7 linked regions of the Coturnix japonica genome follow. The main gene of each other region encodes a partner of the protein of the gene in region 3 in a complex. Links are inferred from orthologs where the notes say so. Each region holds a gene or a part of one and is shown on either strand. Other genes may lie near its edges. The genes, in order: TAF12, TAF5, transcription initiation factor TFIID subunit 4-like, TAF11, TADA2B, TAF13 and TAF8.

Region 1 (2,881 bases), on a different chromosome or scaffold from region 3:
GCATTAAATAGCACTGACTCACCCGTTTTCCCGGGACAGGGGAGGTGCCACGGCCCCATTCCTCCTCATCCCCCCCTCTTACAAAGCGGTTCCCAGACAGCGAGCACAGCACGCAGCCCCTCCATGTGCTGTCGGGTCCCAAAACCTGTTTACTCTCCAGCAGGGAGCTCCCTCAGCTCGGTGCCCTGCAGCACCAGGCCACGCTTTGGGCAGCACCCTGGGAACAGACGGCAGCTCTGCGCCCCAGGAGCCGCCTCTCCCTCCCGAGCACCGGTCAGACCTGCCCCAGCTGCACTTAGTGCACGGACAGAGCCCTCACCTACCAACAAAGTGGGTTTCACCCACGGGTGCCGGTAGCCCGAGCCCCAGCAGTGAGCTCTGCACTGAGGCAGCAGCATCCACAACCTCCCTTTCTTTGCAGGGAGCCCGCAGAGCTGCCCTCCCTCCCCACTGCATCCCACAGCAGCTGTAGTATCTCTGATGCATATAGTGTGGGCAGAGCAGATGCTGGGCTGTGAGCCTTCTTCATGCCCCAGGGAAACAGAACACACTCATTTCTTACCCTTGGCCAACACAACCCTCCTGCCTGCATCCAAACGGGCTGAGCCACAGCAGGTCCTGATGCAGTGAGCACAGAGCAGAGACCATCAAAGTCCAGCACAGATCTCACGCACAGACACCAGGCTCACCCCACAGCTGCCTCTTTCCCCTGGTTTTAGATGAATAATTTCTTTATTCATGTAAAACAAACGCAAGTATTTTTATATAAACACTGACATTACAAAGTACGGGAGCAGGGAGGGGTATGAAGGAGGAAACAAAAACCTCTACAGCTGCTTCTAATACTGTCCCACACACACACACATACACACAATCAAATGCTCTGTCCCTCAGATAATCACTTATATGATAAACCACTTTCAAGTCACAAATAAAAGTCTTTGCTTTGAGATACGCTGCGCTCTTAAGGGGGAGAACAAGGAACAGGATGGTTTTGGCAGATCTCCTCATCGACTCAGATATTGCTGCACCGTCAATAAAAAATAGATGCTTCTCTGTAAAGCACGAACAAATAATATCCCATGGGTGGCGTCGCAGAGGCTGCAGTGAGAGGCAGAGATCCCAAAATGCACCGCTGGCAGCTCCGAGCTCTTCTCCCACTTCTACTTCTTGGTGGTTTTACGGATCAGTGCCATTCTCTGCAAGGAGAAGAAGGTGGGAAGCTGAGTCTCGGATCATTGCAATGCAACCTGAACAGCAGATGTGCAGAACAACCCATCTCGGGTTCTCTCAGGGCACTGCCCGGCTTGTTTCCACACAGGTCTGTCAACTTCATTTGAATCTCAGAGTCTTGGAGGAAAAGGAAACGTCTGCGCTGCCCCAATTTGCCCCCCAGGCTGTAAAGGCTGCGTGATAAAGGAGAGCAGCAGCACCAGGGGAGGGACTGAAGCCCATCTGAGCTTCAGGAGGAGCTGCAATAACACCCATGCACTCCAACAGCTCCTGCAGGGAACCTCCTGCCTTATGCTTCAAAAGCAATTGCCTGATGCAGTTAAAACAAAATTAAGGGGGGAAAAAAAACCAGCTGCAGTCACAGCTGAAATCACAGACAACTGCATGCTCTTAAACCTTATGGTGGTAGGGAGCTGAGACCTGCAATTCCACTCAGAAGAGGTTACGGATTCACCAGGAGTCCAAGGGCACATTACCTACATAAGGCTTCTACCATGCAATTCTCAGCACGTTCCTAAGGGCTCCTTACCTGTTTGTGAGCTTCTGTAGTGCAGGCTTTTTTGTAGGGCCTGATTTCTTCAGAACCAAAGCCCGGGATCCACATGTTCCACTGACGCTCTGGAAGAGAGAGAGCACGTGCCAGAGCACTGAACCCACCTGGAGACGATGGGTTTAGGGGCAGATTATCCCCTCATTCCTTTATGGTGAGAGCAGTGAGTCTTCTCATGGGTTGTCACCCCAGCAGTGGGCTGTGCACCCACCTCTCAGGTGAGGGCAAAAGCTCCTTACCAAGGTGCAACTGGACATCTTTCACTTCCAGGGTGTTTGACTTGCGATGCCGTGCGAGCTGGCAGGCAGCTGTCACCACGCTCTCTATGAAATCATCAGCAATCTGCAACAGCATCTGCCACAGAACGAGGACAAAAAGAGGTCTCAGCAGCACCCAACAGCTGAAACTATGAGAATGTATGAAAATGAACCCTCCGAAGATAATGTTTCAAGGGTGTTTTTGCTTCCCTGAAGCCTTTCTGAACACTGGGAAGCAGAGACATGGATGGCTGAAGGCTGCAATGAACGTGAGAATAAGGCAGTGTAATATAAACCAGCCCTCCCTGCTTTGGGCAAAGGGTCACTGGGCTGTGAGAAACCCCAGAGCTGCTCTTTCTGCAGCCCCTGCCATGGGTTGGTATCTACCTCCTCCACGTCTTCATCGAGCTGTTCGTTTGGATCCACCTCACGCACCAGGTCCTGCAATTTCTTCTTGGTTAAAACCTGAGTAAGTGAGAGAGAAAATTGGAACCGTTCACTGCGATGCTTTAGCAAATCACTGCCCACCCTGCACAGCCACAAAAGACCTCCTCCCTTACAAAGCAGAGACACAAGTCACACGTGTTGACACGTGGTATCAGCCCAGGAAGGGCAGATAAGAGACATCAGGTGCTAAGGAGTCATTTTCAAGCACTACTGGCTGCTCTGAACAGAAAGCAGAGTGAGCAGAGCGCAGCAGGTTAAGAGGACTAATTCTCCTGTGCTAAACCAGCACTAAAATGCCCCTGTCTGAAGCGGGGCTGACGGCAAGAGAGGACAAAGACATAGTGAGAAATCTTTAAAGCAACGTTCCAGCGACTAATTTTGTGTTCAGGACACA
Region 2 (3,824 bases), on a different chromosome or scaffold from region 3:
TCAGGAATGTTATTACCAAGATGACCTCCGTGTATTATCCAGCTTAACCAAAAAAGAACACATGAAAGGTAATGAGACCATGCTGGATTTCCGAACAAGCAAGTTCGTTCTGCGTATTTCCCGTGACTCTTACCAGCTCTTGAAGAGGCATCTTCAGGAAAAGCAGAACAACCAGATCTGGAACATTGTTCAGGAACATCTCTACATTGATATATTTGATGGAATGCCCCGTAGCAAACAACAGATAGATGCTATGGTTGGAAGCTTGGCTGGGGAGGCAAAACGAGAGGCAAATAAAGCAAAGGTAGGAGGAAAAGGATGTTGCTCTTTATTATTGAATGCTTTGAGAGTAGTTTTTCAGGAAGTACTATATTTGTTTATATGTATATAATCATACTATATATGATTATTGCTACTTGATATCTTAAAAGACAACATGAACTAAATAAAGGTTCTGTACAAATAGATGTTATCAGTAGTAGAGAAATGAAAATGTGTCACTGACTGGTGGAAGGAACTGTGAGAGACAATGCTATATTCTGTTTGCTGAACTAGATTTAAACTCATGATTTTGTTGTCTAGTTTTAACATTGACCCATTTCGCTTCCTCTCTAGTACAGCAGCAATAGTTCTCACTTCCAGTTATTATTGCAAAGGCTGTTGGGTAGATCTCAATAGCGCAGTACCGCAATGCTACACAAATAAATTATGGAAGTTGTAGGGATTTTGCTTCAGGGAAGAACTAAGAGGTGGTGGGAGAACTCACAGTTGTCCAGGTCAATTGTTGGCTAAAACAGTAGAACGTGTCTTACACTTGTGCCAGGCTAATCAGTAATGAATGCAGTAATGTTCAACTTAGTAGAACTATCCCTTTCCGACTAATGTTTGGAGTCTGATGAAAAATCAGTTTTCAGTAAGAGCAAAAATTACCATTATGTCATACATCTTTTATTGGCTTGCAGGTTTTCTTCGGCTTATTGAAAGAACCAGAGTTCGATGTGCCTTTGGATGATGAAGATGAAGAAGGAGAAAACGAGGAAGGAAAACCAAAGAAGAAGAAACCTAAAAGAGACAGTGTAGGATCAAAAAGTAAAAAACAAGACCCTAATGCTCCTCCTCAAAACAGGTACCAAGGGAGGATGTGTAGGGAACTTCTATTAAATCCAGTATTACCATGTTAAATGTGCAGTGCTGGTCACATGATGTTTTTAGCTCTTTGTCCATTTCAGCCGTAGACAGCTTTAGTTGTAAGATTTCAAGGGGGATAATGCAAACCTTAGCATGTAGCCTTCTGTCTTTGCCCTTCACATCAATCTAGATTTCCCTTGATTTTAGTTGCTTACTGTCTCATCTTTTCAAGCCATACTTAATTAGTTACCTTGTTTCACTACTTGTCTGGATTTCATAAAGCTATTGCTTCTTTTTCTCATCAATCTTTTACACAGTATTTCATTCTTCTGAATTTATTTTGATATTTGAATATTGAGGTGTAGGGTTGCATGGGAAGGTTCAGCTTTCTCTGTTTAAATTGACAATATGGAAAGTTCATAAAAATGTGTGCTTCTAGAATTCCTCTGCCCGAACTGAAAGACTCAGATAAACTGGATAAAGTGATGAACATGAAGGAAGCTGCCAGACGTGTGCGTCTTGGGCCAGAGTGTCTGCCTTCCATCTGCTTCTACACATTCCTTAATGCTTATCAGGTTGGTAAAAAAAAAAGACTTTGGGCAACATGAAAGAGGGAGTCAAAATGATAAACTTCACTCTTAATAAAGAAAGAAGACTGAAGAGTTAATGTTGGTTATCAGAGTATTTGGAACGTTCAAAATTTTATTTATAGACTTCATTAAACTAATTTCCAAGTTCCTTGGGTTTGCTCTGATTTTACCTTAATTCTTTCTTTCACTTTTCCTATGTGACCCTACTCTACAGAATACAGTAGATAGTTTGCACCAAAATACTGGGAAGCAGTTCTGCTCTGTCATCATTAACTACGCCTCATTTATATATCTTTCTTTTTCGTGGTGCAAGAATGTGTGTGTTTATTTCAAGCAAGTGTTTGTCCAAACTATTCTATTTTTATCAAATGAGCATAGTTAATTCTCTTTTTAGTGTTTAGGGTTTGGTAGTGTTTGAAATACACTGTGAAAAATACAAACAACATCAATGGCTATTTTGTCTATAGGGTCTAACTGCAGTAGATATTACAGATGACTCCAGCATGATTGTAGGAGGCTTTGCTGACTCTACCGTCAGAGTGTGGTCCGTGACTCCAAAAAAGCTACGTAGTGTGAAGGCAGCAGCAGGTAATTAAGTAAAAAAAATGTAATGTGAGTGTGTGTTGTTTGTGTTATGTGTGTTTTGTGTGAACAGAAGAATATGTCTATTGGGAGAGTTGTTTTGAGCAGCTGCATCTTGTTACTTTGAAGAAACATTGAGCACGGCTGTATAATTGTGTCTTGTAACTACAAATAGAAATACATATCTTTAAGGGAATGAGGTATCTGGTTGTGTACACCTACTGCTGGGCAGCCTACAAACGAGTGAACTGTTCTTAGTCATTGTGCTGAATCAAAAAGTGCTTGTGGTGTTCAGCAAATAGTAGCCTACAGATTGAAAGCTGTTTTAAGTTGTGTGTAGTGGGAAGCTGTCAGAACATCTGCAAAGTGTGTTTGTGCCGTATTAACTTCCTGGGAAAAGGCATGGAAATTTGTCATCTCAAGAAGTGTGTCCTGAGGCTAAAAAATAAACCCCTCAGGATTTTATCTTTTATGAGGTTTTATCTGTTATGAAGACTTGTTAAAGAGTGGTTATTTACATAAAGCATTATTGCCACCTTTTACAATGGTAGAAGTATTTTAAGTGCCATTGTTTATATTTCACCATTACCTATTTCAAGGTGTTTTTGTTTATGAGTTTTTTTATTGCTTTTGGGGAAAATGCTATTTGTTTTCATGGCATTTGATGAACCTCTGACAGTTGTCATGATGTGTGAACTTTTGAAATCTTGCAGACCTCAGTCTAATTGACAAAGAATCAGACGATGTCTTGGAGAGGATCATGGATGAGAAAACTGCAAGTGAGTTGAAGATTTTATACGGTCACAGTGGACCTGTCTATGGCACCAGCTTCAGTCCTGATAGGTAAAATAAAGTTTACAAGCTAATTAGTTCGCTTGTGTTGAATCTTAATAGTGTGCTATGAATGTGAACGTGTTTATAATGCGGCTTTTACCAGAAGATCAAAGTAACTCTTGTATCTTCTTTAAAATAAGAGATTTGAAAACATTATGTAAGCTACACAAGAGACAACCATCACAGAAATACAGCTGAGAAGTAAGCTTTGTGTGGAACATGATTATAGAATCTATATACAGCCTATAGTCTATATAGAGAGTCTATTCATAATTTGTTAATAATTAAGAAAAAGATTTCATACCGAGTTCACATTCAGGGAATCTTACCATATAGTTTAGAGTTGCATTAAGATTATTCTAAAGTAATATAGTGTAGCAATCTACTGCTTTTTCCCCCCGCATGTGAATGTAATTCTTAAGTGAAGACTAGTTCTTTTTTGCAGCCCCTCTGTATTGCTGTGTCATCAGAATTAATCATCAACATTCAAATGTCTCTTATGCTTGACAACCAAGGGTTCAGTTCTTCCCGAACAGTTTATTGTTGTTTACTTCAGTAAAATGCTGATTTTAATGGGAAATACTAAATAGTAGCTGCCCAGTGGAGAGTTCTATGTATCATAGAATTGTTACAGAGCTTATGCAATGACTACACAGTCTGTTAACTTGGTATGTAATGTACTATACTTTC
Region 3 (3,824 bases):
GTCACTAAAACAGGTTTTAAAATATCACCGAATCTCCAATAAAACCGGTGTGCAGCCAGCAGATGTTTTCATTACAAAGGCCAAAAAGCAAATGTAGCTTGGTTTTAGCCTGATGTGATGGAACAGAATTGTTCTGACCCTTTTTTTTTTGCTGAGCACCGAAGCTGTGGCTTAAAGAACGGTCTTTGCCAGCCCTCTTTGTTCAACTCCATGGCACTGCTCTGCTCCCAAGTCTGAAAAGAAGTGGAAGAAAGTTATGTTGTGCTTATTGGACCGATTGCCCTTGAAAAGGCAACTGTTGAGTGCATTCATTCACTGCATTAATAGCATCGAGGTTTGTTGACAATTTTATTAGATATTTGACAAAGGATAAGAATCAGCACAACAAAACATCGAAGTATTTGGTTTTAATATTTCTTTGTGGGTATCCTGTTAATATTTTAATGCAAAATGTTTCTGAACAGTGCTTAAGAACTACCAGACAATGTGAAATTCATGTTTGATAAATTAATGCTATGTCACTCGATGTGTTACTTTAGTAAATTGTTTTATTTCTTTACAAAATAAGTACAAATAAGGGAGTATGTTTTCACACAAATTGGGGGTATTTACGAGTATGTACAGAAATCATCAAAATAACGTAATTCTAATAAACACAAGGCCTTTATAAACAATATGTACAAATTATCAATACATTTAAAACATAATTTTACACTTCCTGGCCTTAAATACCTTATGAATAATCTTTTGGCTAAATAGCAGCAGTATAAATTTTCTTCTGCTTTTCATAAACCTTAAAAAATAATTAAAACTTTTGTTTTTAAAACTATTGGACAAATAGTTCTATTTGTGCTTTCGCTACGGTTTCCCATTAAAAACAAAAAAATATTGCCTCAAAAAAGTGGCAAGCATAATGTAGTAAAATTGAAAAGATAAATAAGCAAATGTCTCCCTTCCACAGCCACCGGTAATACTGTCACATCTCAAGCACGACTCGTGCCCACCTCCTTGCTGAGCATTCCTGTCCAATTCCCATTTGAAAAGACTCACTAACTTTGCTTGGCTTTGGTGTTGGCCCTGGAAAATCCAATTCAGCAAAGCGTTTGAAAAGCATTCATCCCGCCATAAGAACTTACACCTACCCATATGCTTAAAGGCATGCACTTGTTCATGAGCCTCTCTGGACTGGAGTCCTCGGGTCCAATCGTCCACGGCAAAGCACCGCCGGTCCCCGCAGCACCAGCCCCCGGGGCACACCCGGCTCTTGTGGCTGCCAAGAGGGAACCGGACCCCAAAAGCTTCCTTTACAGTTACTCGAATAATCCATATAGGATACTCTAAAATCTTTCCCAAACAATACTCTCTTTTATAACCACCACTAAACCATACTCTGTGCAATAAATAAATTAAGATATTTTTAGAAAATAAAAGGATTCATGTTACTAACCAGCTGCTACAAATGTGCAAAAGGTTGAAGAGATTCAGAAAGCAACAGGAAGCTTGGTGGACCTCAGTTGGGACCCGAACACACAGATTTCATACACTTAGGATTTGGTTTAGCAAACGGCTGAAGGAATGCACTGTGCTGTAAAAGCAAAAGTCCTAAATATATCAAATGTGTGACAGCGTGCACTGGTTATTCTTTTAGCTGTGCAAAAAATTGCAATCAGATCCAATCTAACAGGTATTGCCATGGTTAGTGGAAACAGCAAACCCTAAAGGAAAACCAGCACCGCTGGTGAACACAAAGATTAACCCCGTTCAGGTCCCAGTCCTCCTGCCCATGACATCTAATCTATGGCAGCCGCTGAGGCATTTATGTAAATCAATGCCATCCATGTTAGCCTTATCTAATGTGGCCAAATGCAGTCAGCCTTTGGAGTTGGTTACATCTGCAGACTTAACGTTTTAAAAACTTTTGCACATTTTTTTTTCTTTTTTTTTTTTTTTCTTTTTTTTTACATAAAGGGAATTTATTGCATGTGTCTGCCAGTTTTACAAAACAAAATTACCAGAACATTGACTTCTGAAAAAAATAGAAGGCACATTAAAATGACAGCTTTTCAATGCAAGTTGAACTTCTGTATGGAGAAATCAGTACAATTCTTGGCTTTACTTAAGCAGAGCTCGATAGAGCAGGAGAGAACGGCTCGTTTCTCTTTCCTGTTCCATGTAGAAGATGAAGTCCCTGAGGTTTACTCGCGTTATTTTCTGTCGTGCATACTGCCTGGATGAAGGAGTCCCCAAACCAGCCTGACCTCCACCGGAAATACTGAGGCCCTACAAAGAAAACACAGCAGAGTTCAAAGTCCTGCAACAGTCAGGAGTTTCCTCCAGCCACCACCTGCTGGATTATTTCAAATATCTCACATGTATTATGAGCCTCACTCTGAATGTATTACGTAAGACTTGCTTCTACTTCTGAGTCTCACCAAGTAGATTGAGTACAGAAACAAGTGGGAACAAGCACATGGGACAAAACTAGACAGTACTTGTTTACAGCACAGGACAAAGGTACTGAAAATTCTCCTGCTACAGTCACATGAACCACAGATGTATTAGGGCTGTATAATGTCAATAGCATTTCTGGGACAGAACTATATGCAGTAGATGAAACCTTTAGAACATCAAATGTGTGCTCCACATCCTGCATCTAAGGCTGGAACAAGGTGAGTGCTGTATGGGTGAGTACATTGCTGCTGCCATAAGCTGCAGGTCCCACACATGCCCAGATTCCCTCCTCTGGGTGTCCTGAAGAAAAAGGTTTGGTGACACTGAACCATCCTGGTGAGATGGACAAATCATGGAGAGCAATCACAACAAAGACTCAGACACTGTAAGATGATGGAGACAAACATAACTGTACTGCTATGTAAAACAATGATAAAACTTTGTTTAAGTTGGTTTGAAGCTCCTGAATCACTGAATAACTCATCCTGGTCTTTCCAATAAGTTTCTAATACCTTTAAAATACCAGGCCTACTTACTGCTGCTCTTAACCTACCTTTCTTTCCCCAGGAAATACTTCTGCATGATCTCGATTTCAGCCCTTACAAATACGATTCAGCGTGACTTTAGTACTGAAAGGTTATGGGGAATACATGTATGGTACATTGTGAGGAGGAGGTGACACTTTTCTCTATTGCTTTTCTGCTCACCAGCAGAGCAATACTGCTCGATACATTTCCCTCATATCTGATTATTAAATTACAATAGTGGGTCAAATCCTATTTTAACATAGCCTTACTGTAGTTAAATGAATGCTGCTAAGCTTGGAGGCAAGAGAAGGAAAAGCCCACAACCTTTGAGCACCACAAGCATTTGATCTTAGGGATTCTGGTCTTTAGTATGAAGTAGCTTTTGCTAACAGATTAATTGATTTACCACCCAGCCTCATCGCTCATAGGAAAAGCATGTGTTGCAGCTGCAAGGGTTGCTCATCCATGCTGAAGCCAGACATCTCCCCAGTGCATAATCCATTTATTAGCAGTGCTCTGAATTTATTCAGCCTTTATGCTAAAACACATTGCATTCCCAAATGGAACAGCATCATTCCATTCTCCACCTTCCACAGGTTTGGAACAATGCCCCACCTTAAGCTGCCTCTCATCCCACTCTGTTTAGCCAGGGCTGTTGTGACTAATTCCAACTTTCCAAGGAACGACCACCTGGATGCTTATTTTAATTAAACAGTCTTAAAAATATTTCTCTTTTTTCTCATCCTCCTACACACTGAATCTCTCCCCCTGCCCAGCAACACTTCTGTCAGATCTGAGCAGCAGCAAACACACAATGCGACCACCAGCCACCCTAAACTCACACCA
Region 4 (4,255 bases), on a different chromosome or scaffold from region 3:
GAACCCCCAGGGACTCTGCTCCCAACCCCTGCAGCACCACAACCTCGGCAACCCTCACACACCCCATGTACCCCACAGTCCATGCAACCCACCACAGTGCCTCATCCCATCCCCTTCATGCACTCCTTTTGACACACACAGGCCCAGACCCCAGGGGCAGCAGTTCTCCATTTACAGTACAGATACATTCATATCCCACTGGGCTCCATCCCACACCATGCCATGGGAGCTCGGACAGCCCCTGTCCCACAGCCCTCCCACCCATACATTCCACCCAAGCACAGATTCCAACCCACAGCATCCCCTGTACCACAATCCCTTCCTCACCCCAAGCACACCAACAGCCAGTCTCAGAAGCCCCAAAATCCCAGCTCATCATTACAAACCCACTATCCCCACACATCTTGTGTCCTCAACAACGCACCCCTATCAACCCCACAACCCCTACACCCACACCTCACCTCAAGCAGCACAGTCCAAGTCTCCCAGCACCCCAACTTCAAGTCCACACACCTTCAATCCTTCTCCACAGCCCTACAGCACCCCAACCCCATGCACCCCACAGCTCCTATAAATCAATGCTCACCTTGAGAGCCTACAAACTTCACACACTGCATCCCCCACAGCCCTACTCTCCCCTCAGCTTTCACCCACAGCTCCCAGCCCCAAACTACCCCCTGTGGGGGGCTCCTACCCCACAGCCCTCACCCCACAACCTTCCCCATCCTCCTCACCCCACAGCCTCAGCCCTGTACCCACCTCTAACCACAGCTCCCCAGCTCCATGGGCCCACCCCTCATAGCCCCCATCCCCCTCATTGCCCCCCACTCACCTCAGCAGACTGGACAGCGGGTGTCCCACTCCTCCACCTCCTCCTCCACCTCCTCCACCGCCGCTTCCACCACCTCCACCGCCCCCGGATCCTCCTCCGCTCCCTCCTCCGCTTCCCCCGGAGCCGAACCCTGAGCTCAGCCGTTTTCCCGACAGCAGTTTCTCCACAGCGGGCAGGTTCCCGGTTCGTGCGGCCTCCAGCAGCTCCTGCTCCTTCCCCATGGCCCGGCCCGGCCAACGCCGCCGCCTCCCGCCAGGCCCCGCCCCGGAAGAACGCTGAGGGGGCGTGGCCTGAGGCCGAGTGGGCGGGGCCTGAGGGGCCGTTTGTTCTCTATTGTGGGCGCGGCCTAATAAGTGGGCCTGGTCTGCTGTAGGCCCCGCCCCTGGTGGATCTATATTCTCATCCCATTTCTCTTCATTATCAAATGGAACTGATACAAAATGACGCGTAGAGCCCGTCAGCACGGCTATAGATGGGGTGGATCCCACCCTGCTGTGCCGGGTCCACACGCAGCTCACAGCTCTGTAGGCCGCACGGCGCTCAGCCCCGTCGCCATAACGACAGCAGCGCCCCCTGTCGGCCACCGTAGCGTGACGTCATCACCAGGCGACCGTAGAGACGAGGCGTAATGGCGGATCCCGGTGAGCCGGGCCGGGAGGAGCGGGGGGGCGGCACCGAGCGGGAACCGGCACCGACCGCTACATCACCACACGGCGGGGATGGGACCATGGAGGAACCGACGGCCACGGACGGGGTTATAGAGGGGGACATGGAGGCTGGAGCCGGCCAGGAGCTCAAGGCGGAGGCGGCGGATGGGGAGGTGAGGGCTCAGCACCGGGTCGGCCGGGAGATGAGGAGAGAACGGGGCCGGTCCATAACGGTGTGTTGTATCGTAGGGGAGGAGCGGGGACGGGATGGACGGGGAGGATCCGAACCTGCAACAGGCGGCAAAGAAGGTGAAGGTGGAACTGAAGGAGAGGAAGGAGAAGAAGCACAAAGTGGACGAGGATGAGATCCAGAAGATGCAGTGAGTGCTGGGGAATGGGCTGCGCTGCAGGGCGGGGTTAATGGCCATGAGCAGCATCAGCATCGTTTGTGGTTCAGCTCTGTGAGTGATTCGTCCTCTCCCTTCCAGGATCCTGGTCTCCTCCTTTTCCGAGGAGCAGCTGAATCGCTACGAGATGTATCGCCGCTCTGCCTTCCCCAAGGCTGCCATCAAACGGGTACGACTTCAGTTCGTGCTTCAGCACAAAGCAAACGGCTCAGCCTGGCCACAATACCCCCCCCCCAACCTCCCCTCCCCAACATGGCTGTGGGGGGACAGCGATGCAAAATAATTGCTAGCACTGATCTGTAGCTGAATCAAACTAATCTCAAATTGTTACAGCTACCATGTGCCCAAAGCTATAGGAGCTCATTCCAAAGCTCTGTTACTGTTGTTTCTGCTCATTTTGTTCACTGGTGCTCAGTATTTGGCTCCAATCACTAAATATAATTTGAAGTGTTTCAGTGTTGCTGCATGTACCTCATTTGACTGACTGCCTGTTCTTTGCTTGTGCAGCTGATCCAGTCCATCACGGGCACCTCTGTCTCTCAGAATGTGGTTATTGCCATGTCTGGCATTTCCAAGGTCTTCGTTGGGGAAGTGGTGGAGGAAGGTGAGCAAATCACATTATTGTTCAGTAAAAAGTTAAGGACACAGAGAGCACATCGCTTAAAGCAGAGAGACATGAAACAAAGCTGGACTTTTGTGGCTTCTTGTCCAGGTGTGCAGCCTGGACAGTGCCCTGCAGGGCCCTCCTGCTTTCAGCAGCAGCAGAAGACAACTGTTAAAACTTGGGACTTCTTGCCCCTACATGAGCAGGCTGCAGTGCTACAGCAAAGATCTCATTAATGCTACTGTGGACAAATTCAGCTTAGAAGGGAAATGCGTTATTTAAGCCTCTTAGCCTGCAAGATTCTTTGTTAATGCAGTGAGCTGAGATCTCCTTGGGATAGACTGTGCAGCGCTGACCCAGTTGTGTCCCTGCTCATGCAGAGGAGGAAAAGATTCTTGTTTTTTGTGCCAGCCACTTAGTACAGGCTTGTCACACAAAACACACAGCCTGGACTTGCAGGGGTTGCCATCAGCCAGGATGATGCAGCTTTTGGCACTTCTGCTGCTTTGACTGTGTCTGCAGCTCTGTGTTGCCAGAGGCAGTCTGGATAAGCAGCTTCTCTGCTGTACTTATTGCTTCGTGTCCTTGGCAGGAGATCTGAATTATACTTAACAGAAGTGAAGCACAGGAACTGCCCTTTAAGTCAGCTGTAGGTGGTTCCTTCCTCCTATCCCTGCTGCACACAAGTCCCCAAACATACTTCACAAGCTAGAAGTGGTTTTAAAGTAGCAGGTTTAAGATGATGAGGCCTTTTCAAGCTCTTGCATGACTTAGTCTATTCCATAGCAGCTGGGACGTGGTTACAAAGCAGCTGATTCTGAGCTGGTATTGATGCCTCAAGGACTAGTTTTTCTTCAGAGAAACACCCAAAGCTGTTTCATCCCTTTGTACAGATAAAACATGAGCTTTGAACACTGTTACCTGTTGACTTTATAATTGAAGTTCAACCAGTGGGAGGCTTTTCAAATGTCTCCTGCTGGGAGAATGGCAGAGCTGAGCTGTCCTTGTTCACGTCAACTCTTGTCCTTTGTTTAGCACTGGATGTGTGTGAGAAGTGGGGGGAGCTGCCACCTCTGCAGCCCAAACACATGCGGGAGGCTGTGAGGAGGCTCAAGTCACGAGGACAGATCCCGAATTCCAAATATAAAAAGATCATCTTCCACTGAAGTGTCCTGGGATCAGCAAAGAGAAGACAAGTTCAAACAAGCTTTGGTTGTGCACCATATGACAGTTATGAGACAGAAGCATTCCCCTCTCCCGCTTGCAGTCTTCTCCAAGGAAGCTGTACCAAAGCAAGCTCAATTCAACGTGGATTTCAGTAACTTCAAGCATCGAGGTCTTATGTGGATTGCTTTCAGTTTACAAAACTACCATGAGTGTTCTCAGCACGGCTCATGGGGCAGAAGGACAGGGAGAAATGCTGCAGCAGAACCTGCAGTTGCTCCCATTAAACTCCCTGCCAGCAGCAGCACATTGTGTGCAGACATTCATGTAGGCATCCACGGGGATGTTTCCTGCAGTAACTGCTGAAGGCCAGTTTGTCAGCTTAGTGCTGTGCAGGCTCAAGGAGGAGGCAGATCCTTGGCCTGGTGCCTCAGGGTCCTCAGATCCAGCAGCCTGGGAAAGGAACATGCAACGTCCTCAAGTGTATTTACCCACCAGCATCGTCCCTTCTGCTGGCACAGGTGCAGTGTTGTCTCTGTACAGAAGCATCTTTTTTTTTTGTACATTAAACTTGTTACTATATTCTTAGTCTCCCTGGGAC
Region 5 (4,350 bases), on a different chromosome or scaffold from region 3:
GGCCCTGGCCTCGCTCTCCTCGCTGTCCTTCTGCCGTTCGTCCACCCGCAGCTTCCAGCTCTCTGCCTCCCGCTCCCTCCGCCCCCAAAGCTCCCGCAGCTCCCGCAGCCGCTCCGCGAACAGCTGCTGCCCGCCCGCCTCGTCCGCCCGCCGCTCGCTCCGCTGCGGCCTCAGCAGCTCCGCCAGCAGCAGCTGCAGGCGGCTCTCGGTCTGGTGCAGCCGCTGCCGCTCGGACTCCAGCTCGCGGTACTCGGCCAGCAGCTCGTCGCGCTCCCTTTCCTCCTCCTCCTCGGCTTCGTCGCGGCACTCGGCCTCCTCCGCTTCGCCTTCGGGCTGCGGGGGCTCCGCAGGCTCCGTCGGGCCCTCGGGCTCCTCGCTGTCCTCGCTCAGCGCGTCGCGTTCGCTCTCGGAGACTTCGCCATCCCCGGGCTGCTCAGCCGGGGGCTCCTCCAATACCGAGGGCTCCTCCAATACCGGGGGCTCCTCCAATACCGAGGGCTCCTCCAATACCGGGGGCTCCTCCAATACCGGGGGCTCCTCCAATACCGGGGGCTCACTCAATACCGGGGGCTCCTCCGGCGTCGACGCCGGAGGCTCCTCGGCCGGGGGTTGCTCCAATGCCGGGGGCTCCTCGGCCGGGGGTTGCTCCAATGCCGGGGGCTCCTCGGCCGGGGGTTGCTCCCAGATAGCCGGGGCTCCTCGGGCCCCGGGTTGCTCCAATCCGGGGCTCCTCGGCCGGGGGTTTGCTCCTCAAAATGCCGGGGGCTTTCTCGGCCGGGGGTTTTGCCCAAGCCGGGGGCCTTCCTTCGGCCCGGGGGTCTTGCCTCCCAATGCGGAGGCTGCCTCCGGCCGGGGTTGCTCCCAATGGCCGGGGGCTCCTCGGCCGGGGGTTGCTCCAATGCCGGGGGCTCCTCGGCCGGGGGCTCCTCCGTTGCCGGGTTCTGGCCGTTCCCGTCCATGTCTCCTCCCGTTCGCTTCCCCCGTTGCCCGGGTGACTGCTCTGCTCTGTCCCGGCCCCGCCCCTTTCCCCGCCCTCTCTCCCCGGCCACCACTGAGCGGCAGGTTCGCCCGGGGTCACGTCTCCGATTGGTCGCCCGAAAGGCGGCAGGGCTCCGCTCGGCCAATCGCAGCCTCTCGTTCACACGAATCCCCCCCGCCAACGGGCGTTTCGCCCCCATTGGCCGCGATCCGGAGGGGCAGCCCGAGCTCTCGTCACCCATTGGCCGCCCGGCGCGAGGCTCCTCCCGGCGGGAGCGCCGCCATTGGCCGCGTGTGAGCGGGGGCGGGGCCGCGCGTGCGCGCGGGGAGGCGGCGGGCGGGGTAAGATGGCGGAACTGGGGAAGAAGTACTGCGTGTACTGCCTGGCCGAGGTGAGCTCACTGCGCTTCCGCTGCACTGAGTGCGCAGACATCGAGCTCTGCCCCGACTGCTTCTCGGCCGGAGCCGAGATCGGCCCGCACCGCCGATGGCACGGCTACCAGCTGGTGGACGGCGGCAGATTCACCTTATGGGGCGCCGAGGCGGAGGGTGGATGGAGCAGCCGGGAGGAGCAGCTGCTGCTGGACGCCATCGAGCAGTTCGGGTTCGGAAACTGGGTAAGGAGAGTAAGGGCTGTAAGGGTGCGGGGCATCGAGCTGCTCCGAGCTCGGCTGGTCTCTATGTGCCTGTCCTGTGTAGCGCTGCGCTCTGGGTACAGGATTTCTTCCTAACATCCCCAACTTCAGTATCCCTGCTTTCAGCTTGAAGCCGTGCCCCTTTTCTTTATTTATTTCTCTATTACTTTCTTTATTTCTCTGTTGCTCCAAAAGTAATGCTGTAAAACAGAACTCTGGCAGGTGACACATTGAGCTCAGGGACTCAGGAGCCATCGTGGTGTCTTGTGAATCAGTTTTTGAGGGGCAGGGAAGAAGGAGCGAGTGCTGTGCTGGAGGTATAACGGGAACCTTCTTATTGCCCCTCCTTGTTTTCCATTTAGGAAGACATGGCCGCTCACGTGGGAGCATCCCGGACACCCCAGGAGGTGATGGAGCACTACGTGAGCATGTACATCCACGGCAACCTGGGCAAGGCCTGCATCCCCGACACCATCCCCAACAGGGTGACGGACCACACGTGTCCCAGCGGGGGGCCTCTCTCCCCCAGCCTGACCACGCCGCTCCCGCCCTTGGACATCTCGGTGGCTGAGCAGCAGCAGTTGGGCTACATGCCGCTACGGGACGACTACGAGATCGAATACGACCAGGATGCTGAGACACTGATCAGCGGCCTGTCAGTGAACTACGACGATGATGACGTGGAGATAGAATTGAAAAGAGCTCACGTAGACATGTACGTAAGAAAACTCAAGGAGAGGCAACGGCGGAAGAACATTGCGAGAGATTATAACTTGGTGCCGGCCTTCCTGGGGAAGGATAAGAAAGACAAGGAGAAAACTCCCAAACGAAAGATCACGAAAGAAGAGAAGGAGTTGAGGCTGAAACTGAGGCCTCTGTACCAGTTCATGTCCTGTAAGGAGTTTGAAGACTTCTTTGAGAACATGCACAAGGAAAGGGTGCTGCGAGCAAAGATCCGGGAGCTGCAGCGGTACCGGCGGAATGGGATCACCAAAATGGAAGAGTCGGCGGAATACGAGGCAGCCAGACATAAACGGGAGAAGAGGAAGGAGAACAAAAACATTGCCAGCTCCAAGAGGGGGAAGGAGGACGGCAAAGAAGGGGAATTTGCTGCCATTGAAAACCTGCCTGGTTTCGAACTCTTATCGGACAGGGAAAAAGTGCTTTGCAGCTCTCTGAATTTGAGTCCTGCGCGTTACGTGACTGTAAAAACCATCATCATTAAAGACCATCTTCAGAAAAGACAAGGGATTCCTTCCAAGAGCCGCCTCCCCAGTTACCTGGATAAGGTACTGAAGAAAAGGATTTTAAACTTTCTAACAGAGAGCGGTTGGATATCCAGAGACGTGTCATGAGGCCCATCCATCTGAGCCACCGCATCAGAGACCTGACAAGTTCCCTTCCTTTTCCTGCCCTCGCTGGAGATACAGAAATTATCTCATTCAAAACAGACAAACAAAAACAAAAGAAGCAAAAACAACCCCCCCCCCCCCCCGCGGTGCTTGTGGGCTGAGCTCCCAGCACACTTTTGCTTTGGGTCATGAAAAACCCTGAATTGTGAAACTTCTCCATTCGGTTGCATTACTCGTTAGAGTACACTGTTGTTACATTACTCAAAGAGATTGCTTTCATGTGAGCCTACTCAAGTCCGATGGTTCTGGGGTGATCACTTCACTCCTTACTGTTGGATCAATGTCAATGTCAGCCATAATCTTTGCCTTTTATTTTCCTTTTCTTTTTGTTTTCGGAGGTGAGAGCTGGTTTTCAGCAGCTGAGTTCTTCTTCTCCCTGATGTTTTTTGTCACAGTGATGGCAGCCAAGCAGAGCTTGCAGAAATCCTGAGCTGTCAGATGTGGGGTGCAGGGATTGGTGTGGCCGTTGCTGAGCTTTTGGAGCGCTGCCATTAGCACAGCCCAGGTGTCAGGATGTGGGGTGAGAGCTTCCGTGGGGTGCAGCGCTGGTGAGCTGTGATGGGGGTTGGTAGATGAGGTGCCTGCAGGTATTTGTGCTGTGTGTGAAGGCTTCTTGGAGAGCTGCCTGACCCAAGTGTAAGCTTGGCTGGGCAGCTGTGTGCTCTGCACTGGGCTCAGCACTGCAGTGAAGTGTTTGGTTCTGGCCAGCTGTGGCTTAGAGCGGGCAGAATGCTGCCCTGGCAACCTCAGGTGGTGAAATAACCTCTTCCTTTTGCAAGGAGAACCTGCTCTTCCTCTCCTGTTTGTTGTGCCCAGCATGTGTAGCCTGAGCTCTTGCAGCTGCCTCCTGAGAGCTGCTGGGAGGGATGGGGACAGGGAGCTCCGTTCTGAAGCTCATAGCGGCCACTGAGATTGGTTTGTACAAACTAAAAAGGAAAGTATATAGATGACAACGCACAGCTCTGTGCTCCTGGAGTGCAGAGCGGTGGATGCAGCCGTCGCAGCTTTCTGGCTGCATGTACCTCCAAACCTTCTGGACTAAATGTGCCGAAGTTTCCGCTGTGGTTGGCAGAATGGATCTCGGTTTGCCGCAGTGGCCACTTTGGTGTTGTTGTGTTGTCAGAGCTCTCTGAGGGCTGCGCTCCCTGCCACACAGGGCTGGAGTTACAGAGCAGCAGAACACAATAGAAACACCTCACCCACCCCACTGTATTAGTAGTATATACCGGTTAAGGGAAAGGTGTTCAAGGAGGAGCAGAGGCGGCCTTTCTTTATCGTCATTTCATTCTTAGATTCCTGTGCTGGCATCCAGCCACGTGAAATTA
Region 6 (4,594 bases), on a different chromosome or scaffold from region 3:
GATGTAATTTAAGTGGTTGAGTTTGCTTGTCTTGCTTCAAGATACTGTAGCATCAAGCACTGAACATCATACCTTTGTTTCCACAGTTCTGTGGAGTTTTCGGGAGTCCACTTGCTAAGGTGTTTTGTAGCCCATGTTACTGGAAACCTGCCTAGTGTAGAGTCCAGTTGAGAAGTCTGGCTCCTGATCTGCTCAGCTCATCTGGAACAAAAGGTACCAAAACCAGAGGTCTGGATTGTTGTTGTAAGAACCTGAAGCACCACAATTATTTTTGGATAAACTTTTATAAATTTTTGGCTAAAGTAATGTTTGTAAAGGCGAGCTTTTTGTTTAATAAACTTCTTAATCACTGTGAATGAATCCTGGGTACTACACAAAACCTATGTGTTTGTGTCAAGGGAGGGAAAAGAAATAATCAGAGAACCTCCAGAGAGAAGCCAGGTACTTGCTTTGTTGAGTTGAATGACACCTAGCAGTTTAAATGAGCGTATGGGCACCCTGCCTGCTCTAAGGCTGTCCAGAGTGAAAACAGTCAATGCTTTGTTTGCAAAAAGCTTTTTGGAAACTTGTATTTTTTTCACTATTGTAACTCCTCTGCATTGTGCATTCCGTAGGTTCAGCGTGATAGCATGGCATGCCTTGCTTGTCTACATCTGGTTGTCCCTGTTACGGGCAGATGTGGAAAAGGAAACCTACTTTATGGGATCTGCCTCCTGGTTGGCTGTTGGCTTGAAACAGTGGTGATGAATGAACAACACCTAGCAGAACTCTCTCCTCCTGCACTTGATCATCACTCAGTGTTGCATGAACCTTCTGTTTTAAATCCCACGTGAGTTCTGCAGCTGCGCTCAGCTCAGTTACCAGAGATGGGTCCATTACCTACATCTGTCCTGCCCTGGGAGCTGAAGCACAACACAGAGGTCCTGCAGCCACTGTACCTGGCTAAGGTCAAAGGGAAACCACATCTGGTACAGAATGTACAAAAAGGACTGCCATTAAATAGCAGTAGTTGTACACAGCAATTTAGACCAAAGCTAATAAAGTGCCTGTGTCACACTCTGGCACACATCTTGTCCTGTCTTAAGACTGCCAATTCTGCGTATACAGTTGCTGAGGTTAACTTACATTAAATGTTTATATCTCAAGGAAAAGTGATTCTTTCATAACCCACTCTGAGGCTTGAAGGTGGTGTTTCTACTGTTTGTTACGTTAAGGAATGTCCTGTAACTCTCAGATTAGGCTTGAAGTTTGTTTCCAGCAGATATGTAGGAAGTGGCAGGATGAAGAAACCAGCAGGGAGATGTGGATCTCCAGTTTCTACATGTAAGCAGAGATCAAGCATGTCATGCTACCGTTTTGCTTCTAATCCCAAAATGCACCAAAGCAAACTGGCCTGTGAGTGTCTGATTCTAGAAATAAATACAGTAGGATCTAGAGAGGTGGAAAACACTCAAGTCAATGTTTTGGGAATAATTGTGTGTTTGTATCTTAAAACCAGTGTCTTTCAAAAGCATCAGTGTAGTCCAAGCTGTTATCTTCAAGGCCTCAGTTTGTTATGTGCAAGATTTGGAAGCTCTGTGACAGATGTGGCAATAAATAAAATCGAATTAAGCAAGTGCTCCATAGATTCTTCTTGACTCTGCTGTCCAGTAAAGTTTTGTTTCTCCAGTGCCTGTACCTCAGCTGCACCTTTTTCTTCCTCTCCTTCGTCTTCCTAAGGAAAAAATCTTTTGAATAGCCTAAGTTCCCAAGGCATTTCTCACACTAGATGAGTGAGGGGTGGGAAACAGCCTGGGTGCTATAGACACGGCACAACAAGATGGCGGCCCCCAGGGGAGGCGGGAACGGGAAACCGGAAGCGGTAGCGGGCTGTGGCGGCCATGGCGGACGAGGAGGAGGACGCGCCGGTGAGCGGCGGGGATGGGTTGTTTGCGTTCAGCCTCGGGGCGGGAGGGAGCTCCCCGTTTAACGGCTTCCTTCCTCCGCTTTGTTCCTTCAGTTCGAGGAGGACTCCGAGGAAGCCGGCGGCGGTTTGGACGGCGGGCAGGGCAAGAGGAAGAGGCTTTTCTCTAAAGAACGTGAGTCCAGGTTGGGGGGGGAGCTCAGGGTGGGAGCGTTACTGATGCATTGAGCAGATGGAGGCCTCACGCTGTGTGTATTCCCGCAGTAAGATGCATGATGTACGGATTTGGAGATGACCAGAACCCTTACACGGAATCTGTGGATATTCTTGAGGACCTGGTGATAGAATTTATCACTGAAATGGTAAGTCAGTGGTGTGCCAAACACGGGTCTGTTAGCCTTGAGAAAAGAAGACTGAGAGGGGATCTGATCAATGTCTGTGAATATCTAAGGTGTGGGAGGCAAAGGGATGAGGCCAGACTCTTTTCAGCGGCATGTGGCAATATGACAAGGGGAAATGGCCACAAACTGGAGCATGGAGCCACACAAATGTGTGCAGGAGCTTCTACATGGAGAGGGTGACGGAGCACTGGAACAGGCTGCCCAGAGTGATTATGGAGTCTCTTTCCCTGGAGCTGTTCAAGACCCACTCGGACTCCTACCTGTGCAACCTGGTGTAGGGAGCATGCTTTGGCTCCCTCTGCTTCAATGAAATTCCTTCAGCATTATCCCAGGCAAAAACTCGTGTGCTGCTGGGAAGAAATCTAAACTCAGATATAAGAGGTTGGATGTTAGGGGGAAGTTCTTCACTAGGAGAGTGGTTAGGCCCTGGAACAGGCTGCCCAGGGAGCTTGTGGATGCCCCGTCCTTGGAGGTGTTCAAGGCCAGGTTGGATGGGGCCCTGGGCAACCTGATCTAGTAAAGGTGTATGTTTGGTGGCCCTGCCAGGCAGGCGGGTTGGAACTACATGATCCTTGAGGTCTCTTCCAACCCGGGTCATTCTGTGATTCTGTGATTGCCCTTCCGATATTAAGATAGAATTAACACATTTTACTCCACATGGATTTAGGGCAACGTTCGGAGGCTTTAAGTAACAGTTAGGGGAAAAAATCCATAGCTGACTTTGAGGCACCCAGTGGCATCGCTGTGTGTTCTGCTGACAGATGGCTCAGCTTTGAAATGTTATGTGCTTCTTGTGTTCTCTCAGTGCCTTTACACAGATGGAAATGCCACACCATAAAATAAATGCAGCCATCTGGGCCCTAAAGCCACTGCTGATCCAGACATTTGGATACAACTTGAGCACTTATGTTAAAAAAAAAGAATAAGAAAAGTGGTATTGTTTGTGGATCCCTTCTCATGAGAAGTTAGCCTTGCCTATTCTCAATAGAAAAAAACTGTCCTCTGATGCAGGTATTGCATACTGCATGCAGATTCTGCTTGATGCTGTTGCTCCTCAAGCACTTTGCAGATCAGGTGTCCCCTCCCCAGTCTGCCTTCAGTTCCAAAGACATTCCTGTTGTGTGTGCAGTGGTACCCAGTGTATATGAGGTACTGCACTTGGATGGCAATGCCCAGATCCTGCACTTGCTGCCTTCTAGACTGTTTAAAATGTCAGTAAATACAGTAGGATTGAGATCTGAAAACAAAACTAAAAGGGGCAGAGGAACACTGATGTTTCTCTCTTGCAGACACACAAAGCCATGTCAATTGGACGGCAGGGCCGTGTACAGGTTGAGGACATTGTCTTCCTAATCCGCAAGGACCCCCGGAAGTTTGCCAGAGTTAAAGACCTTCTGACTATGAATGAAGAACTGAAACGTGCCAGAAAGGCCTTTGATGAAGCAAACTATGGATCTTGATTCTGTGTACAGGCTTGACTGGAGCGTGCTGTGGGCTCCTGTTGCTCAAGAGGAAGAAATGTCATGTGTGTTGCTTTGAGGGGTTATTTGAGCTGGAGATCATTGCTGCTATCTGCTCTGCCTCTCAGCCTCTTGTGGTAGGCATTCAAACAGCTAGATGTTAACTGATTACACATGGCGCTCCTAACGTGTTTTTATACCATTATGGGAATTTGAGAAATGAGCTCTAAAGATATTTTAAAGGTGAGAAGTCTGCAGTAGGACAGCTGAATTGGGAATCTACAAGGCCCATGACAAGCTCTTCTCTACTTTGGTTATGTCGAGGTATTTTGTTGACAGGAAACCTGGAAAATAGATGTTGGTTAACTGGACAAAGTTGTCAAGCCCAAACTATTACAAATTCTGCTCTGTACATAAACTTGAATAAAGCAACTCGAGTCTGTGCCCACTCTTCGTAACTACACGTACACTGATCAGTTAACGCAGGGCACATAAAAATTGTTGGCTATTGTAGCATCTCATGAGCTCTAAGTGCTGTTTCTGTCCTAGTAGACACAGCTCTCCTGTTTTTACTGTACACTTAGAGAACTGAAATTAACCTGTTCCAGATTTAGTTGCACTCAGATCCTTGCCTTGCCCCTGTTGGGCAGATGCTCCACTATAAAACTGATCTGACTTAATTCAAAGAACTTTTTTCACAAGATTAGGATCACCGGGTAATTACAAATAAGAGCTCGATGGAAAGCACTAAGCTTGTGAAATAATGTTAGAGCAAGGAATAAGTATGTGCTGGAATAGCTACACATTGCCAAGCAGGCAAAAACTGCACA
Region 7 (4,613 bases), on a different chromosome or scaffold from region 3:
ATTCCCACCTCCTACATCTTCTTTGAAATAATCTGCATGAAATTCTGTAAAAACACGTGAGCTTCTTTCCTTTCTCAGTCTGAGACCGATCTGAAAGTTCTTCTTGTTGCAAAAGGAAGCGTTCCAATCTCTGGGAAAAAACCCCATGCTCAGGAAGGCGCACAGACTCCCACCATCCCACATCTCCTTGTTTTGCTGCCAGCTGACTGATTTCACAGCACTGCAGAGGAAGCTGGCACCATAAACTGGCAAACGTTTCCAGCAGCAACATCGATTCCCACTCCACATGGGCTCCAAAATAAGGATGTCACCCTCCACCTATGGACACGAACAGCCAGCATGGTTCTGCTCGCTTCCAGATTCCTTCCCTTCCACATCAGATCCCTGGCAACATCTTTCAGCACAGCCCTGAAGCTCTCCTTGTTTCACTTCACCCCTTTCCTCTTGGCTGGCCAGTCTCCTCCGGTGGCTGCGAGCAGCTGCTGCTTCACAGACACACAAGAAACCCCGACATCACTGAGCAGCCAGACCTTTATGGAAGCATTTCCCACTCCCACCCTGCCAGGCAAACGGAAGCCATGCATAACAGAATGATGTACCTGTGCCATAAAACAGGATGCAGCACCTGTGATTTTAGGGACTTCTGCACATATTTAGCTGAGGAAAATTCCACCAGGCTCTGGATTTTCAGTTTGTAACTGAGTTTAGAAGGGACTGCAGTGCTCTGGTTAGAACCCAAGGGCTCCAGCTGACACCACCACCAATGTTATGTTATGTACTGTAACATCAGCGGGTGCACTTTATCAGTTCTGAGAGCAGCTCACAAGGCATGGCAGTACTTATTGATGGGAAAAAACGTGCAGAGGAGCAAAGAGATTGTGTCTGGTTATTCAGCAGGCTGGATGCAGCCAGGACTGGAATCCAAAATAACACAGTGCTCTGCACCAATAACTAGAGCACCCAGCAGCCCTCACTGCAGGGCTTCCCCTGCTACCCCCTCCTCAGAGACACCCTGTGTACAAAGAAACAGCTTTGTTCTGAAGTGTATGATACTGTGGGATGGGGGAAAAGTATTCCCAAGAGTAAAACAAACAAACAAAAAACCCACAAAGCCAACGAAAACCAACCGGGCAGCACAGGGCTGGGATCTCATTTATCCAACAGCTCCCACGTGTGAATAAACCAAGTAATGCAGCCACCCAACATGAAGCCTGAGCCTGTTCTCAGCAGCTTCACTCGGCTGCTTTGAGCTCCCAGCTGCCACATCCCTCCATATAACGCACATCACTCCGCCCCACAATCAACCAGCAGGTCACAGCTCCACCACACACAGCGCTTCCATTCCCAGCTCCTTGTGCTCCCTCACACTCCGTTAATCACTGCCACCAATTCCAGCAGCCAGCACAGCACACACAGCCCCGAACACAGCGAGGGACCGACCCCGCCGGGCACAGCAGAGCTGGGTGCTGACACCGCCACAACAACGGCACCTTCACACACCGGCAGCTCAGGCCCAGGCCGTACTATGGCAGCAGCTCCCCGCTCCATCCACCCATTATGTGCCTCGTACCTTCACCATCCACCAGCTCCGCTGCCCGGTCCCGTCCCGCTCCTGGCTGTTGTTTACTCTCCACACGGCTCCGGCATCGCGGGGCGGGGCTGCAGGTTCTCGCAGCTCTCGGGGCATCGTGCAGCGCTGCCGGGCCGGGCCGCTGCCCCGCCATGGAGCCGCCGTTACCGGAGCTCATCGTCCCATCGTTGTTGTCCCATCGCCGTCCCATCGTTGTTGTCCCATTATCGTTGTCCCATCACCATCCCGTCGTTGTCCCGTCCCGGTCGCACCGCGGGGCTGTGGGGGATGTTGGAGCCGCCTACAGCCCCCACAGTGCAACGCGCGCCTCGCCGCACGGCCCCACCGCCCCGCACATGCGCACAGCGCTCTATGGCTCCAAGATGGCCGACACGGCGCCCGGCGGTTCCGGCACGGTAACGGCGGCTCCTCGTCGGGCCGCGGGGTCGTTGTGGGAACGGCCCCTCCGGGCGGAGCGGCGCGGCCTGCACCGGGAGCGGGACACTAACGGCTGCGGGCTGAGCGCGGCGGCTTTAAGGGGGAGCTGAACGGAGGGAGGCGCTGATTGGCTGCATGGCTGCGTGGGGGCGGGGCTTGGCGGCAAGCTGTGATTGGTCCGAGCTCTGATGCAGCGTTTAAAGGGACAGAGCGACTATGGGGGAACGTGTGTAAATATGGGGATATGAGTATGGACAGGCACTGCTTGTAGGGCGCTCCTAAGGTAAAGCCTCCTATTTATTCGCATGGAAGCTGCAGCAGGTACAGCACAATCATACTGTGTGATCAGGTGTTTGCACATCTGGAAAGCACTGCTGTTTAACACGGTCACCACCATTGCCCATATTGGCACTGGAGAAGAGCTGCATGCTGCACTCATACTGCTGGAGTGACCCACTGTTATCACTGGAACACGCCGCACTGTGCTCACAGCGGCTGCTCTGTCTCCAGAAGCATCTGCCCTCATCCAGGAACACAGTGATTCTGTGCTTCATTCACACTCCTTCATTACACACCGTTATGTCCAGCTGCTGCCACCTGTCACACAGCAATGTAATGTACACAATGTAATGTACACAATGTAATGTACACAATGTAATGTACACAATGCTGGCAGGAAGGTTCAGCCTTTACCCCGCCTCCAACATCTAACCCTGATGTCGACATCATGAAATAGGAGGCATTACTTTCAGAGCAGTCCTCATGTGTGTATGTCTGTACATGTGTGTCTGTGTAGGTGGGTCTGTACTGTGTGTAGGTAGGTGCTGTGTATGTACACCCGTGATGTGTGCAGGGACAATGTGTGAGCACAGAGCGAGTGCTGGCAGCTCGTCTGGGGCTCAGGTTCAGTGTTTTGGGGTCTGTGTCCACAGCGGTCGGGCAGCAAGCACACGACCACGCCAGCAGATAACTACTACCTGGCCCGAAGGAGGACACTGCAGGTGGTGGTCAGCTCCTTGCTCACTGAAGCCGGCTTTGAGAGCGCTGAGAAGGCTGCGGTGGAAACACTGACAGAGATGTTACAGAGCTGTGAGTGTCGGGTGCCACCAGATTTAGGGCAAAATCACCTTGAAATCGGTTCACATTTGCTTTCGCTCTTTCTGTTTTTCGTTTGTTTGTTTGGTTTTGTTTTAACTCTTTAACTCCCGGTGCTTTCCATGATGTTATGATGTGCAATAACAATAACAAAAATCATAAAACCATGACACTAGATTTGATCAAAAGTCAGGTGTTGTGCTGACACAAATGTGTGTTTGCTGCCTGAAATGAACATGGAATGTGAATAAAATAAAATGAACATGTAATGGTTGTTGGTGGTTTTTTCCCCTCCAGATATTTCTGAAATTGGAAGGAGTGCAAAGTCCTACTGTGAGCATACAGCCCGAACACAGCCCACGCTGTCTGACATAGTTGTTACTTTAGTGGAGATGGGTGAGTAGCTGACTCATCTCACTCATTCCACATACATACAGTGGGTGTTCTGTGTTGCCATGACAGTCTGTTCCTGGTGTAGTTGTGTGATGTCGGCTGTTCTGGGTTGCACACAGAGGCTCCAGTATCACTGCTGTTGATGTAGTGTGTATGCACACAGAGTACATTATTTTCTTTCTTCTTGGTGTGATTCCATTTTTCTCTTCTTCTGTATTTCAGGGTTCAATGTTGAAACACTTCCTGCATATGCAAAGCGCTCCCAGAGGATGGTGATCACTGCCCGTATGTGAGAAGTCCTTTTCTTGTGCAGGAAACCATTTGTCTTTTCTATCTGCTGGCATCCAGAGAGCTGCTGCTTTTCTCATGGATGGTGTAGTCCATTGCTCCGGGGCACTCAGTTTGTGTTAAAGATTCCTGTAATTATGATGTAGTAGGTGAAGGAGAGTGTCTGTCCTTTGCCAAACCTGTTGCTTTTGCTTCAGTATCCTCATTGCACATGAGAATCCTCAAGGTGGTTCTCCTTGTGTAGGAGGGGTCATGTAAGCCTTGTTCCCTTTTGGGATGCCAAATACAACCTGAAACTGTTGCTTGTGTCATATGCTCATGTAGTGCATGTGCTTTTTTAACCATAGCTCCTGTGACAAATCAGCCCGTGACTCCCAAAGCCCTGACAGCTGGACAGAACAAGCCACATCCATCCCACATCCCTGGCTATTTCCCTGAGTTTCCAGATCCTCACACCTACATCAAGACACCAGTGAGTGAAAAAAGACTTTTGTGCCATTTGGTTTCTGTCTGAAGTCAGTAATGTTAGGAAAGGTGCATGTGCATTCTTATTGTAGTGCTGTTCCTGAACATTGTTTCTGCTACCTTGGCACAATGCTTGTCATTTGCATATTGTACTTGCTCTAGTTTTATAGCTGATATCTGTAGCTGTTTGAAAACGTGCACATGTTGAAGGTCAGTGCTTGCCTGCATCCTATTAGTGTTTTGAACTTGATCTGTCTTCACTGAATCTAGTGACTGTACTTGTTTTGTCATCCCTGCTCTACAGACGTACCGAGAGCCAGTGTCCGATTATCAAGTCCTACGGGAAAAGGCAGCATCTCAGAGG

What was found.
Region 1: the proteins of transcription initiation factor TFIID subunit 4-like (region 3) and TAF12 are in contact, whole or in part, in a crystal structure (PDB 1H3O), measured with the Homo sapiens proteins. The link is inferred for Coturnix japonica from reciprocal best matches to the Homo sapiens genes TAF4 and TAF12. Residues at the interface, in NP_003176.2 of Homo sapiens: Phe872, Leu873, Leu874, Pro877, Leu878, Arg880, Arg881, Ile882, Ile885, Gly886, His889, Gly890, Ile891, Thr892, Glu893, Leu894, His895, Asp897, Val898, Tyr901, Val902, His904, Ala905, Thr906, Gln907, Gln908, Arg909, Leu910, Gln911, Leu913; in NP_001128690.1 of Homo sapiens: Val57, Leu58, Thr59, Lys62, Leu63, Leu66, Val67, Glu69, Val70, Glu74, Met83, Leu84, Ile87, Ala88, Asp89, Phe91, Ile92, Glu93, Val96, Thr97, Cys100, Ala103, Arg104, Ser108, Ser109, Thr110, Leu111, Glu112, Val113, Lys114.
Region 2: transcription initiation factor TFIID subunit 4-like (region 3) and TAF5 share a complex: the UniProt entries of both Homo sapiens proteins name them as parts of the TFIID basal transcription factor complex. The link is inferred for Coturnix japonica from reciprocal best matches to the Homo sapiens genes TAF4 and TAF5.
Region 4: transcription initiation factor TFIID subunit 4-like (region 3) and TAF11 share a complex: the UniProt entries of both Homo sapiens proteins name them as parts of the TFIID basal transcription factor complex. The link is inferred for Coturnix japonica from reciprocal best matches to the Homo sapiens genes TAF4 and TAF11.
Region 5: transcription initiation factor TFIID subunit 4-like (region 3) and TADA2B share a complex: the UniProt entries of both Homo sapiens proteins name them as parts of the TFTC-HAT complex. The link is inferred for Coturnix japonica from reciprocal best matches to the Homo sapiens genes TAF4 and TADA2B.
Region 6: transcription initiation factor TFIID subunit 4-like (region 3) and TAF13 share a complex: the UniProt entries of both Homo sapiens proteins name them as parts of the TFIID basal transcription factor complex. The link is inferred for Coturnix japonica from reciprocal best matches to the Homo sapiens genes TAF4 and TAF13.
Region 7: transcription initiation factor TFIID subunit 4-like (region 3) and TAF8 share a complex: the UniProt entries of both Homo sapiens proteins name them as parts of the TFIID basal transcription factor complex. The link is inferred for Coturnix japonica from reciprocal best matches to the Homo sapiens genes TAF4 and TAF8.

The regions. Positions count from the first base shown.
Region 1 is NC_029538.1:2,033,334-2,036,214, reverse strand, and holds the end of TAF12 (transcription initiation factor TFIID subunit 12), read right to left. Parts: intron 2,506-2,881; coding exon 2,428-2,505; intron 2,138-2,427; coding exon 2,023-2,137; intron 1,852-2,022; coding exon 1,763-1,851; intron 1,200-1,762; coding exon 1,164-1,199; 3' UTR 714-1,163; downstream 1-713. UniProt on the Homo sapiens protein: The TFIID basal transcription factor complex plays a major role in the initiation of RNA polymerase II (Pol II)-dependent transcription.
Region 2 is NC_029521.1:20,666,299-20,670,122, forward strand, and holds part of TAF5 (transcription initiation factor TFIID subunit 5), read left to right. Parts: coding exon 1-304; intron 305-962; coding exon 963-1,126; intron 1,127-1,567; coding exon 1,568-1,703; intron 1,704-2,185; coding exon 2,186-2,306; intron 2,307-3,013; coding exon 3,014-3,143; intron 3,144-3,824. UniProt on the Homo sapiens protein: The TFIID basal transcription factor complex plays a major role in the initiation of RNA polymerase II (Pol II)-dependent transcription.
Region 3 is NC_029526.1:9,324,105-9,327,928, forward strand, and holds the end of transcription initiation factor TFIID subunit 4-like, read right to left. Parts: intron 2,281-3,824; coding exon 2,113-2,280; 3' UTR 531-2,112; downstream 1-530. UniProt on the Homo sapiens protein: The TFIID basal transcription factor complex plays a major role in the initiation of RNA polymerase II (Pol II)-dependent transcription.
Region 4 is NC_029541.1:4,152,765-4,157,019, forward strand, and holds the start of TAF11 (transcription initiation factor TFIID subunit 11), read left to right. Parts: upstream 1-1,347; 5' UTR 1,348-1,460; coding exon 1,461-1,652; intron 1,653-1,728; coding exon 1,729-1,859; intron 1,860-1,967; coding exon 1,968-2,055; intron 2,056-2,393; coding exon 2,394-2,490; intron 2,491-3,525; coding exon 3,526-3,656; 3' UTR 3,657-4,255. Other genes in the region: ANKS1A (ankyrin repeat and SAM domain-containing protein 1A), read right to left, coding at 833-1,053. UniProt on the Homo sapiens protein: The TFIID basal transcription factor complex plays a major role in the initiation of RNA polymerase II (Pol II)-dependent transcription.
Region 5 is NC_029519.1:72,523,665-72,528,014, forward strand, and holds the start of TADA2B (transcriptional adapter 2-beta), read left to right. Parts: upstream 1-1,278; 5' UTR 1,279-1,325; coding exon 1,326-1,595; intron 1,596-1,975; coding exon 1,976-2,968; 3' UTR 2,969-4,350. Other genes in the region: CCDC96 (coiled-coil domain-containing protein 96), read right to left, coding at 1-714, 825-1,220. UniProt on the Homo sapiens protein: Coactivates PAX5-dependent transcription together with either SMARCA4 or GCN5L2.
Region 6 is NC_029516.1:74,709,009-74,713,602, reverse strand, and holds TAF13 (transcription initiation factor TFIID subunit 13), read left to right. Parts: upstream 1-1,774; 5' UTR 1,775-1,880; coding exon 1,881-1,907; intron 1,908-1,999; coding exon 2,000-2,078; intron 2,079-2,167; coding exon 2,168-2,265; intron 2,266-3,593; coding exon 3,594-3,764; 3' UTR 3,765-4,212; downstream 4,213-4,594. Other genes in the region: GTPBP8 (GTP-binding protein 8), read left to right, coding at 87-171. UniProt on the Homo sapiens protein: The TFIID basal transcription factor complex plays a major role in the initiation of RNA polymerase II (Pol II)-dependent transcription.
Region 7 is NC_029541.1:4,766,380-4,770,992, forward strand, and holds the start of TAF8 (transcription initiation factor TFIID subunit 8), read left to right. Parts: upstream 1-1,698; 5' UTR 1,699-1,722; coding exon 1,723-1,986; intron 1,987-2,940; coding exon 2,941-3,097; intron 3,098-3,400; coding exon 3,401-3,499; intron 3,500-3,718; coding exon 3,719-3,781; intron 3,782-4,131; coding exon 4,132-4,256; intron 4,257-4,553; coding exon 4,554-4,613. UniProt on the Homo sapiens protein: The TFIID basal transcription factor complex plays a major role in the initiation of RNA polymerase II (Pol II)-dependent transcription.